3 linked regions of the Arabidopsis thaliana genome follow. The main gene of each other region encodes a partner of the protein of the gene in region 3 in a complex. Each region holds a gene or a part of one and is shown on either strand. Other genes may lie near its edges. The genes, in order: AT5G47890, AT1G79010 and EMB1467. A codon is read from its position in the direction of its gene.

Region 1 (3,746 bases), 4.5 Mb from region 3:
ACCGGGAATTGTTGCGGAAAACACGGTCAAAAACCGACATGCCCACATCCCCTAAAACAAAAAGTTTAAACAGAGATGGTTTATTTTTCTCCTTTCTGTGATTTCAATTATACGGAATGGTTTAATTCCAAGTTCAAGGATTACACAAAAAAACCAACTCAAATGCAAGGCGATATGACACCACGGAGTTACAAAGTAGTAGAATGACAGGAAATGTCAAATGATTGTTTTGCGGTTTAATCTTATTCGGGATCATATAGAGAAAAACAAACAAACAAACAAACTTAGGCCTTTGTAGCTCCGGATTTCACAAGGTTTTCAAGGGCCTTTAGAATCTGTGGCTCTGTCAGACCATCCAAGTTTACACACCTCTCCACACCCATATCTGCACAAGCCAAGCACGAATTAACGCAATACAAAAACAGACACATTTATAAATACTAGTTCCGAAGTAGAATCGAGGATGACAATTTTAACGCATATGACTGTTGCGTAAAACAAGTTTATCACCAAAAAGAAAAAGAATCATCTTGTTCTCTCATATTTACAGTATTATACTTTACTACATTATCGGAGTGTGGGAACATAGTTTAAAGATGTTCAAAGTTCACTCAACACAGATGCTTAAATACTTTAAGTTGCTGAAGACACTGATATGTTTGGTCAGGGAAACCATATAAAATGGATCAGCTAATGAGATAACATAAACCATAAGATTTTGGCATTCACATAAATACACAACAAGGAACTAGGGAAACCAGTCTCATTTCAAAAGAACAAGCCAATATGCATTTTCATTAATGACCAATAGTCTAAGGGTGAGTGTGTACTTTAAGAGTAACTCAAGATGTTAAAACTCACTCAAAATTTAAGGCTGATATGCGACAACCATAAAGTTCAAAACAAAACAAAAACGAGAGAGAGAAAATGAACAACAGCAGTAGGCAATCACATAAACCATAAGATTTTGGCATTCACATAAAACACAACAAGGGACAAGGGAAAACAATCCTCATCTTATAAAGCACAAGCCAATATACATAGCGGTTATACACAATTCCTTATCATCAATGACCAAGACTCTAAGGGTGAGTGTGAGTGTACTACTTTAAGTGTAATTGGTTAACTCATAGTGTTAAAAGACTCTTCCCTAAAAAACTTAATGCAGAAACAAAAGAAAGAAGCCACATCTGTTATTACCAATGACCACATTCATGTCAAGTTTTTTAAAAACAAACAAACCAAAATTTAACACTGTAGAAAATTCAAAACAAACAGAATCGCGAGAAAGAAAAAGAACAACCCACATTAGAAAATCCCATAAACCATAAATTTCAGCATTCACATCAAACACAACAAGAAACATTTTCATCACAAGATGTACAAGGCTCGATAGTGAGTGTATAATGGGTGAACACAAGATGTTATAAAGACACCTCCATACAAAATATGAATGCAGAAGCAATAGAAGAAGTCACATATGTAACTACATTCATATCAAATCTTTAAAAGAGCACAATTAATTTTCATATCTCTAAAAATTAAACAATTTGAGTCAAAATTTTCCTTCACAGAGATAAGAGATAAAGCAAATTTACCATATCTTGCCCACATCTGAGGCTGGACTCCACTACATTCACGGATCAAGATTGGTAATTTAGGGTTTAGAGACTTCAAATCTTTGTAATTCTTCTCAACAAACGTTCTGAAACAACGAAACAAAAACCCTATAAATCACAAAACGGATATGGAACATTGAAAAAAAATTCCGATCTCAGAGATTGCTTTGATCAAATTGAAACCTGGTGGGAGCACTAGCTGGAGAAGATTGACAAAGAAGAATCCTAAGCTCTTTCATAGACTTCGATATGCTTCCTCTCCATGCCATCGTTCTTCTTCTTCCTCTTAACTCTTCAGATGCCACACAACGAAAGAATCAAAGACCAGAGAGAACTTTGTGTTCATGTGAAAATGAATTAAGTAAAGTTATTGGTCTTCGGCCCATTAAGTGAGTCGGAAAGTTACTGGGCTTAGGCCCATTAAATGAGTCGGTTTTGTTAGGTTTAGACCAAAAAAAAAAAAAAAAAAACTAGGTTATATATATTCTCTTTCTCTGCCACAAATTGTCTTCATACAGTAAAGAATATAATAAGTTGTCGAAGGCTTGAGCGTTGTTCCTTCTTCTTCAGGTACTTTTTGATCTTCATCTTTTTTTTGGGTTTTAATTTGTCCTTATGAATTCGTAATTGTTTGATTTGATTATTCGATTTGATCGATTGATTCTGTGATCTGATTTGTTTTGCATGTGGTTATCGTTGTTTTAGGTTTCGGGAATTTTAGATTCTTAAGTATACTTGTTTATCGGCTTTTCTCGTTTTGATATCATAGCAATCGATTTCGTGTGTTGAATTAATTTTAATCTGAATTAAGATTAGTTATTCCGTAATATAGAATTGAAGAGATTGGTTTTTGTAAGACAGATCCATCAGCTAAATCTATTATTGTCTTGATCTTTGAAATTAATATGTAATATTTTTTGTATTATTAATTTCTTTTAAGATTTATTAGTATCATTATTCATTACTGATGAACGCATGTTATTAAGATTATTGAATTTAATTCAACTTTTATGGCTGATTTTTTTAATGGTAAATTGCACAATATTTATTGTATGATTAAGGTTACATGACACACTTTGTATTATTACAGCTTCGGTTATTGTTTCTTGAGGATTTTATATCCGTATTCCAGTTTTGAGTTATATTACTCTGTTTTCGGTATTAACTAGCTTATGTACTGTTGTTGTAGGTTTTTGTTCTATTGTTAAGATGGGAGACAAAAACGATGACGACAAGAACATTGAGATATGGAAGATTAAGAAGCTGATCAAATCACTTGAAGCTGCTAGGGGTAATGGAACCAGCATGATCTCACTCATCATGCCTCCGCGTGATCAGGTCTCTCGTGTTACCAAGATGTTGGGTGATGAGTATGGAACCGCGTCAAACATCAAGAGCAGAGTCAATCGTCAATCTGTTTTGGGGGCCATAACTTCTGCTCAGCAAAGGTTGAAACTTTACAACAGGGTCCCTCCTAATGGTCTTGTACTCTATACTGGAACCATTGTTAATGAGGATGGTAAGGAGAAGAAGGTTACTATTGACTTTGAGCCTTTCAGACCCATCAATGCTTCTCTCTACCTTTGTGACAACAAGTTTCACACGGAAGCTTTGAATGAATTGTTGGAGTCTGATGACAAGTTTGGTTTCATTGTAATGGATGGAAACGGGACTCTCTTTGGAACTCTTAGTGGTAACACCCGTGAGGTACTTCACAAGTTCTCTGTTGATCTTCCGAAGAAACACGGAAGAGGAGGACAGTCTGCTCTTCGTTTTGCCCGTCTCCGTATGGAGAAGCGTCACAATTATGTTAGGAAGACTGCTGAGCTCGCCACACAGTACTACATCAATCCTGCTACAAGTCAGCCTAATGTGTCTGGACTGATTCTTGCTGGTTCAGCAGATTTCAAGACTGAGTTGAGTCAGTCTGATATGTTTGATCCCCGACTGGCTGCGAAGATACTGAATGTGGTGGATGTATCATATGGAGGAGAAAATGGTTTTAATCAAGCTATTGAGCTGTCAGCTGAAATCCTTGCGAATGTGAAGTTTATCCAAGAGAAGCGTCTGATTGGGAAGTACTTTGAGGAGATAAGCCAGGACACGGGGAAGTATGTGTTTGGTGTG
Region 2 (3,746 bases), on a different chromosome or scaffold from region 3:
AGTTCCTATCATAGAGAATATAACAAAAATTTCAATAAGCATGCCTCGAAAATTATTAGGGTCTAGAAAATGTGAAAAACAGACCTCGTGTGTCTCGGTTGCGAATTCAAAGTTAGGTCCTTCAACGATTGCATCAACGGGGCAAGCTTCTTGGCAGAAACCACAGTAGATGCATTTTGTCATGTCGATATCGTACCTGTACGATACAGCTCAAATCATCATGAAAGGGTAATAAAGAAAGCAGATGGTTGATAAATGAGAACTAAAGGGATGATGACCTAGTGGTTCTGCGGCTTCCATCTTCCCTCTCTTCTGCCTCTATTGTGATTGCTTGAGCTGGACATACCTGATGAAAAGGACAAGTATCCCTCACAAGAATTACAATCCGTGGTGAACTTTTATACACACTAAATAGATCATTGTCAGCTAATATGACCATTTCATCAGAACTCTAGAGACTAAACAGTAAATATTACTCATACTCAAATAGCTTTCCTAATTACTAAGATGAATTTGATAGACTCAGAGTACCATATCAGAACAAAGAGAACGTTAAATTAAATGAAGGATTCATATCGATCTCAAAACTCACAGCTTCACAGAGTTTGCAGGCAATGCAGCGTTCTTCCCCGGTAGGATATCTTCGAAGAGCATGTTCACCACGGAAGCGAGGGCTCAGAGGACCCTTCTCAAATGGATAATTGATCTGCATACACGAAAGAGCTTCAGTAACACAGATTTCTTTCAATCTAAGTTTGGAAGACTAGAAAAGATATCACTCACAGTAACTTTTGGATCAAAGAAGTACTTGAGGGTCAGCGACAAACCGCGGACCATTTCTGTGAGGAACAGGGTGTTTATGCTCCGTTCAAAGACTACAAATTTGAGAATATCAGGAATCACTAATACTCGGGGAGGAAAACACCAAGGAAGATAGACGTACAAGAAAAGAAGAAAGGAGAAAAAAAGTAAAATTGTCTAGATCATATGGATTACCAGTATTCCAGTCCTTGGAGATTTCCTTAGAAAGTTGCTCTGCTTCTTCATCATCTGAATATTACATACGCAAACCATAAGTCATATATGAATCAGAATCTCGTAATACAAGTTGGAAAAGGGGTAGATTCACAATTAAACCTGATTTACCAAAGAAAACCAAACAAGAGCAGAAAATATACCTTTGTTGCTGCCATAAGATATACCACGGGACTGCAGTCTAGACAGATGAGATCCCTGTAAAGCTTGCCCTGACAAAACCTATCAATGTCGAGAAGTAATCAGAGAGGTATTCAGAACATACACACCATATCAAGCTAATGAAAGGATTAAAGCTCGCAAAAAAAAACAAAAAAAAATTGACTTGCGAAAAGGCTTTCGTCACAAAAATTAAATGCGAAAAAGAATAAGGAAACCATAAGTAAAACGAAAGCCCTTAAGATGAACCATGATCAAATTCAAATCTCCCTACATGATTTCATCGATCAGCTAGATAAAATCCAGAATCTCGTCGACACAAAACAAAACACAGAGAGTGAATAGAATCATCTTAAGCTCCCAAAACTCCAGGAGACATTCCCATTTCTAGGCATTCAAATAACTCTAACTAAAGGACACAAAATGAAGAAATAACAAGAGCGAACAAGATTCATACGAGATGTCGAGCACGGAGAGTATTCAGTGACCTGCGAGCCAAAATCGAAGCCATTGATGGAGCACCCAAATTCCGATTTAGGTTCCTTCCTTCTTCACTGCGATTGATGAGCAAACCTGAACTTCCGATTAAAATCAATAAAGAGCCCTAAAATCCTATTTTGTCCTTTGAGTTGAAGATATTATTACAATTTGGTCCCTGGTACAATAGTTTTTGGTTTTCCAAACCGCCGATAGAACCGGATTTTGAATTAAACAGATTCTTTCCTTAACCGAAAATAAACAGAAATACACACAATAACCAGTTAGTTACAAAGTGCTAAAACTTATTTAGCTGAGAATCGTTATTGCATACACCATTGGTGATGGAAAATTCTTTACAAAGCAAGATTGTGAAAATATCTCAATCGAAGTTGGTAGACCGGTGATTTGGAGCAATGTAATAAGAGTTTCCACAATTAATGTGAGATTGCATCAACGGATTCCATCTATCGAAAATAATTCGGCCACCACGCCCAATCCTCCCCTGAAACCGACTTGGAGGTTGACCTGGTGATGAATCCGGTGTTGGAGGAACAATCCCTGCAGCTGCCAGTTTATCGGGAACCAGCGGTTTTGTGAATAGCATTACCGGTTCATTAGGATCCTAAGGAACAAAATCATTACAGGTTTGCTTAAATGATTGATTATAGTAGCTAGAGAGAGCTTAGGTGTTGTAAGAGAAGGTTTTACCAGTCTGTGAAGCCATCCATGCTGTGACTGTCGTCTTCTAACTTCTTGTTTGATGCCTCCGGGATGAGATGCATTCAGATTTAAGTTGGTGAAACGAGAACTAGGAATAACCGCAGGTCTTGTACGTACACGAGTACTGGTGTGATCATCAGAGTCCATCAGTTCATCATCGCTTGAGCCAAATTTGTATGATGTTGTAGTGGGTTGAAATCCAGGCATAGCCAAGCTATCTTCCAAGAGCTCTGTTTCATGCTGCAAAAAAAAAAACAATTTTAGACCCGGAAAACGGAAAACAGAGAGTTTTAGAGGAAGTAGAAGTAAGTACCCTGTATTGGAGTTGGATTCTCTGAAGGCTAACCTCACTGTCCATGACATCCCTCTTCTTCTCTTCTCTCTACGGAATGGGTAACATCAAATTAGCAACTTTGGAGAATGCAATCCGCTTGTTAAGATAAACACTAAAACTGTCATATAGAACACCTTAATGAGAGCCTCCAGAATGCTCTGTGCTTGGCCTAGATTGCGTCTAACCTGATAATAACATATCCCATGTATTCAGAATCCAATAGAAAACCATAAAAGAATCACTAACAGATCATTAACAAGCAGAAAAAACAATGTTGTCCAGAGAGAAACTAAAAGAAGGCACTGTAAACGTAAATTGCTCAGATTTCAGGAAATTAAAGAACCATAAAGGTTCAGGTGCCTCACTCACCTGTCGAAGCTTTTCAAATGACTGCACATTGTTTTCTCTCCTCTGCATCTGAAGATGAAGTAAAGCCTTATCACTATTTTTCTTTCTCCAGTTGGATTTTAATAGAAAAAATGTCGCACATGCATAAAAAAGACAGCCTACCCTTCTTGTGTGGAGTCTGTGAACTTTCTCCCTTGGCCTAAACACATTATAGGGATTGGTGTCATTAACCGGTGGGGGAGGCTGTTCCAAACAATGAAGCAAAACATTAACTAAATAATCGAGGTAAGATGCCTTTCCAACATAGGCCTTGATCGTTTCAAATGGAAATAAATAATACAAACCTGTAAACGCCGTAAGATAGGCTTCTGCCATCTTTTACGCTAAGTTCACATAAAAAACAGAAAACGAAACATATGCATAAGTATTATCAGCCAAAGGTACTCCATATGTGGAACTGCTTTGTCATTCACAAGAACTATGCATAGGTTTCACGAATCAAATAATCTATTAAACCGTCTTATCTCACCCCGTAAAATAAGATCATTAACCTATGCAACATAACGTCTGTATCCAGAAAACTTGTAACAATCACATAAGTTTTATTTCAAACCTTTTCTTTCCAGTAGTTGAAGATCGCCTGGAAGGTTCCATAATTAATGGACAGTAC
Region 3 (3,746 bases):
AGAGAAGAAATTAAATATACACGAATATGAGGACGTGTCCAGAAAAAGAAGAATATCGACAATAAAAATCACCTAATTTGCATCTAAATATTGACTTTCATAGTACGCTAGAGATAATCAGTTCATCTTCACCTTATTCTTTGCATTGTGTAAAAGAGAGATTATGCAGAGTTTCCTAGTTGACGAGAATGAGATAGCAGAGATATTTCTTGTTTTCGTTTTGCACTTTAGAGGTACTACCTTATCGAGTTGTATGAATATGATTGTCTTGCTTCTATTTTTTTTTTTCATTTTTGGCTTTGATTGAATAAAGGTGAGAATTTTTATTTATTTTTCGCAAAGTATTTCCTTAAAATATTAGTATTTCGGTTTAGATTAGAACAAATACGAGACGATAAATAGTTTGATAACAAAAAGCTATATATGTTGTGTTTCATATCTTATCAACTCGGTCACATCCTCTTTCCATTGGATGCAATTCTTTTTCATAGAAGAACCACTAATTCTTTTTTTTCTTTTGCCATTAACCCAACAATTTTTATTGTAGTTAGTGGTTCTCCCTTATGTTTCTTTGCCTTGGAATGTAATCACTCTGTTTTGACAAAAAAAAAAAAAGAAGGAATGTAATCACCCTGTTTGACAAAAAAAAAGAAAGGAATGTAATCACTCTGTTTGACAAAAAAAAACAAGAGAGGAATGTAATCACTCTTAAAGTGATCTATAACAATTTGAAAAAGTGTCATATTTATTAGCTATAACTTATAACTTTATAAGTTTTGAATGGATGCAGTGGACAAAGCGGTATACTTTGTATGCGGTTTAATCTACCTTATTTTGAGGCGGACAATAAACCGCTGTGGACCAAGTTTATTTATATGTAAAAATAGTTCGTGGATGATTCACAGATGATCTGTTGCGGTTTTCTTCTTTTTTTTTTGTCCGGACCACTGTGCACTATAATTGATTAATGGTAAATAAAAAACAGTCTGATCCGTTGATGGTTTTGTCCGCCCGAACCGCCGTAACCATTCAAACCCATAATTAAAATTATAACGAATTACTATGTAAATTTATAACTAAAACTATCAAATTAAACGAGTTAAATTATACTTATCATGTCTGCCTGTAATGATAAGATAATATATATCAAAGCTTATGAAACTTCATTTTTTTTTTTTTTTGGTTGTCATTGCAAAGGTTAGATTAATAACAATATCACTGATAATGATGCTTACACGTAAACCTAAACAAACGAGGAAAATAAACTAACTCTTACACGTAAACCTTAACCGATGCAGCATAGGTGTTGACAATATTTTCTTTCCTTTTATTTAAATAGACGACGTTGAGATGTTTAAAATTGTCATCATTTATAACCATATTTTAAGTTGTCTTTATCTGAAATATACAAATGTTCAATTAGTACATTGACCTAAAAGTCTCTAGGACTAATGATTGATTAGAGGTTTATTTTGCTAGAGGTTCTAATATGTTGTATGGAACTAGAAGCAAGATTGTTTTAAACTCAATGTCATTAAGTGAATTAGAGAAAGATCATCAAAACTCTTAAACTATATCTCCCAAAATTAACTTAATTCAGTTTGAAAAGAAAAAGCCCACAAAGCCCAAAACTCACTCATTCATAAGCCAATTATAATATCCAAAATAAAAGCCCATAAAGCCCAAAACTCACTCATTCGTGTCTCCTTCTCTCTCGCACAAATGCTTCAGGAGTTCTCACAACAAGATCGAGAAATACACACATAGAAGACGAAGAAGAAGAAGAAGACGATACAGATCCACAACGCCATGGGTTTAGGCATCTTAGCTTCTCGAACAATTCGACCAGCTTCACGTCTTCTTCAATCTCAAACCTCCAATTTCTTCCTCCGCACAATCGTCTCAAAACCAGAGCTCCAATCTCCTGAATCCGCTGCTGTCTCTGAGCCTGAGCCGCCGACACAGATTCTCCCTCCTAGAAACCCTGTAGGTGGAGCACGCGTCCACTTCTCGAATCCTGAAGATGCGATCGAGGTCTTTGTCGATGGTTACGCGGTCAAAGTCCCTAAAGGATTCACTGTTCTTCAGGCTTGTGAGGTCGCTGGAGTTGATATCCCGAGGTTTTGTTATCATTCTCGTTTATCTATTGCTGGAAATTGCAGGATGTGTCTTGTTGAGGTTGAGAAATCTCCTAAGCCTGTAGCTTCATGTGCCATGCCTGCGCTTCCTGGTTAGTTCGATTCCAGGAAAATTTCTATGCTGATGGATTGATTTTGATCGTTGATTGGTGGAATATATTTGGATTTGGTGCTATTGCTAAGAGTTTTTGTAACAGGGATGAAGATTAAGACTGATACACCGATAGCTAAGAAGGCGAGGGAGGGAGTGATGGAGTTTTTGTTGATGAATCACCCTTTGGATTGTCCTATTTGTGACCAAGGAGGAGAGTGTGATCTTCAGGATCAGTCTATGGCTTTTGGATCTGATAGAGGACGTTTTACTGAGATGAAAAGATCTGTTGTTGATAAGAATCTTGGTCCTCTTGTGAAGACTGTTATGACTCGGTGTATCCAGTGTACAAGGTTACTAATATAGTTTGCTTATAGTGTGATGTTTTAGTTAATGTGATAGATACGCTATCCTGTTGATTAGGTTTTGTATGTATAATGTTTTTGTAGGTGTGTACGATTTGCTTCTGAAGTTGCTGGGGTTCAGGATCTTGGTATACTAGGTCGTGGTAGTGGAGAGGAAATTGGAACTTATGTTGAAAAGCTTATGACCAGTGAACTCTCTGGAAATGTTATTGATATCTGTCCTGTTGGAGCCTTGACCTCAAAGCCTTTTGCCTTTAAAGCCAGAAACTGGGAGTTGAAAGCAACAGAAACTATTGATGTTAGTGATGCTGTTGGGTCCAACATCCGTGTTGATAGTAGAGGACCAGAAGTAATGCGTATCATTCCACGCCTGAATGAGGTATGTAATGCTTTTGTTCAAAAACACTATTTTTAAAAGTATTTTGCTGGATGTTGAACTTGTGAATGTTCTTATTCAGGATATAAACGAAGAATGGATATCTGACAAAACCCGATTCTGTTATGACGGCCTGAAAAGACAAAGGCTGAGCGACCCTATGATCCGAGATTCCGATGGACGATTCAAGGCAGTGAGCTGGCGTGATGCCTTGGCTGTTGTGGGTGATATCATTCATCAGGTGAAGCCAGATGAGATTGTTGGAGTAGCAGGTCAGCTATCTGATGCGGAATCCATGATGGTACTGAAGGACTTCGTTAACAGAATGGGCTCAGACAATGTATGGTGTGAAGGAACAGCTGCTGGTGTTGATGCTGATCTTAGATACAGTTATCTGATGAACACTAGCATCAGTGGACTTGAAAACGCCGATCTCTTCCTTCTCATCGGTACCCAGGTGAGATTTCCACCCTGTCTTTTTTGTATGGTTTCTGGTACCGGATTAGACAGACCGCTCTGTATTTGGAACAATGACATAAGAAAAACCAAATTGTGTAGTTTGATACTTTGATTTAGTGGTGTGGCTTAAGGTTCTGTGCATAATTTGGAATACAGAGGCAAATAGAAAGGAGAAACAAGCAAAATTAAGTTTCTAAAAAACAGATCAGATGTTAACATTTCGCTTGTATTGAATATTCCTGATCCAGACCAATCTAGATCAAGCAAAACTTGCTCTTCCAGATATCAAAGTTGTGAAGGTTTTTTAGCAGTACATT

The links.
Region 1: the proteins of EMB1467 (region 3) and AT5G47890 are in contact, whole or in part, in a cryo-EM structure (PDB 8BED), measured with the Arabidopsis thaliana proteins. Residues at the interface, in NP_568550.1 of Arabidopsis thaliana: Lys397 (codon at 3,278), Asn401 (codon at 3,290), Arg402 (codon at 3,293), Met403 (codon at 3,296), Gly404 (codon at 3,299), Asp406 (codon at 3,305), Asp418 (codon at 3,341), Ala419 (codon at 3,344), Asp420 (codon at 3,347), Leu421 (codon at 3,350), Arg422 (codon at 3,353), Tyr425 (codon at 3,362), Leu563, Asp564, Gly566, Gln570, Arg679, Lys681, Ser682, Val683, Pro685, Asn686, His689, Glu692, Glu694, Pro695, Ala696, Ala697, Phe698, Ser701; in NP_199600.1 of Arabidopsis thaliana: Lys12 (codon at 1,855), Glu13 (codon at 1,852), Arg15 (codon at 1,846), Leu17 (codon at 1,840), Leu18 (codon at 1,837), Gln20 (codon at 1,831), Arg29 (codon at 1,804), Val32 (codon at 1,698), Glu33 (codon at 1,695), Tyr36 (codon at 1,686), Lys37 (codon at 1,683), Lys40 (codon at 1,674), Ser41 (codon at 1,671), Lys45 (codon at 1,659), Leu46 (codon at 1,656), Pro47 (codon at 1,653), Ile48 (codon at 1,650), Leu49 (codon at 1,647), Ile50 (codon at 1,644), Arg51 (codon at 1,641), Glu52 (codon at 1,638), Cys53 (codon at 1,635), Ser54 (codon at 1,632), Val56 (codon at 1,626), Trp61 (codon at 1,611), Arg63 (codon at 1,605), Met66 (codon at 383), Gly67 (codon at 380), Glu69 (codon at 374).
Region 2: the proteins of EMB1467 (region 3) and AT1G79010 are in contact, whole or in part, in a cryo-EM structure (PDB 8BED), measured with the Arabidopsis thaliana proteins. Residues at the interface, in NP_568550.1 of Arabidopsis thaliana: Pro171 (codon at 2,425), Ile172 (codon at 2,428), Cys173 (codon at 2,431), Asp174 (codon at 2,434), Lys212 (codon at 2,548), Ala279 (codon at 2,845), Phe280 (codon at 2,848), Lys281 (codon at 2,851), Arg283 (codon at 2,857); in NP_178022.1 of Arabidopsis thaliana: Glu143 (codon at 313), Glu144 (codon at 310), Gly148 (codon at 298), Ser149 (codon at 295), Arg150 (codon at 292).

What each region holds. Positions count from the first base shown.
Region 1 is NC_003076.8:19,386,948-19,390,693, reverse strand, and holds the start of AT5G47890 (NADH-ubiquinone oxidoreductase B8 subunit), read right to left. Parts: upstream 1,991-3,746; 5' UTR 1,889-1,990; coding exon 1,803-1,888; intron 1,706-1,802; coding exon 1,599-1,705; intron 386-1,598; coding exon 285-385; 3' UTR 1-284. Other genes in the region: ERF1-1 (eukaryotic release factor 1-1), read left to right, coding at 2,829-3,746. UniProt on the Arabidopsis thaliana protein: Accessory subunit of the mitochondrial membrane respiratory chain NADH dehydrogenase (Complex I), that is believed not to be involved in catalysis. Complex I functions in the transfer of electrons from NADH to the respiratory chain.
Region 2 is NC_003070.9:29,725,229-29,728,974, forward strand, and holds the start of AT1G79010 (Alpha-helical ferredoxin), read right to left. Parts: upstream 1,801-3,746; 5' UTR 1,706-1,800; coding exon 1,652-1,705; intron 1,258-1,651; coding exon 1,179-1,257; intron 1,051-1,178; coding exon 997-1,050; intron 876-996; coding exon 784-875; intron 707-783; coding exon 593-706; intron 347-592; coding exon 279-346; intron 197-278; coding exon 85-196; intron 6-84; coding exon 1-5. Other genes in the region: AT1G79020 (Enhancer of polycomb-like transcription factor protein), read right to left, coding at 2,054-2,296, 2,383-2,634, 2,708-2,776, 2,863-2,913, 3,098-3,145, 3,239-3,319, 3,421-3,459, 3,690-3,746. UniProt on the Arabidopsis thaliana protein: Core subunit of the mitochondrial membrane respiratory chain NADH dehydrogenase (Complex I) that is believed to belong to the minimal assembly required for catalysis. Complex I functions in the transfer of electrons from NADH to the respiratory chain.
Region 3 is NC_003076.8:14,895,681-14,899,426, forward strand, and holds the start of EMB1467 (NADH-ubiquinone dehydrogenase), read left to right. Parts: upstream 1-1,729; 5' UTR 1,730-1,809; coding exon 1,810-2,230; intron 2,231-2,335; coding exon 2,336-2,582; intron 2,583-2,678; coding exon 2,679-2,973; intron 2,974-3,052; coding exon 3,053-3,427; intron 3,428-3,746.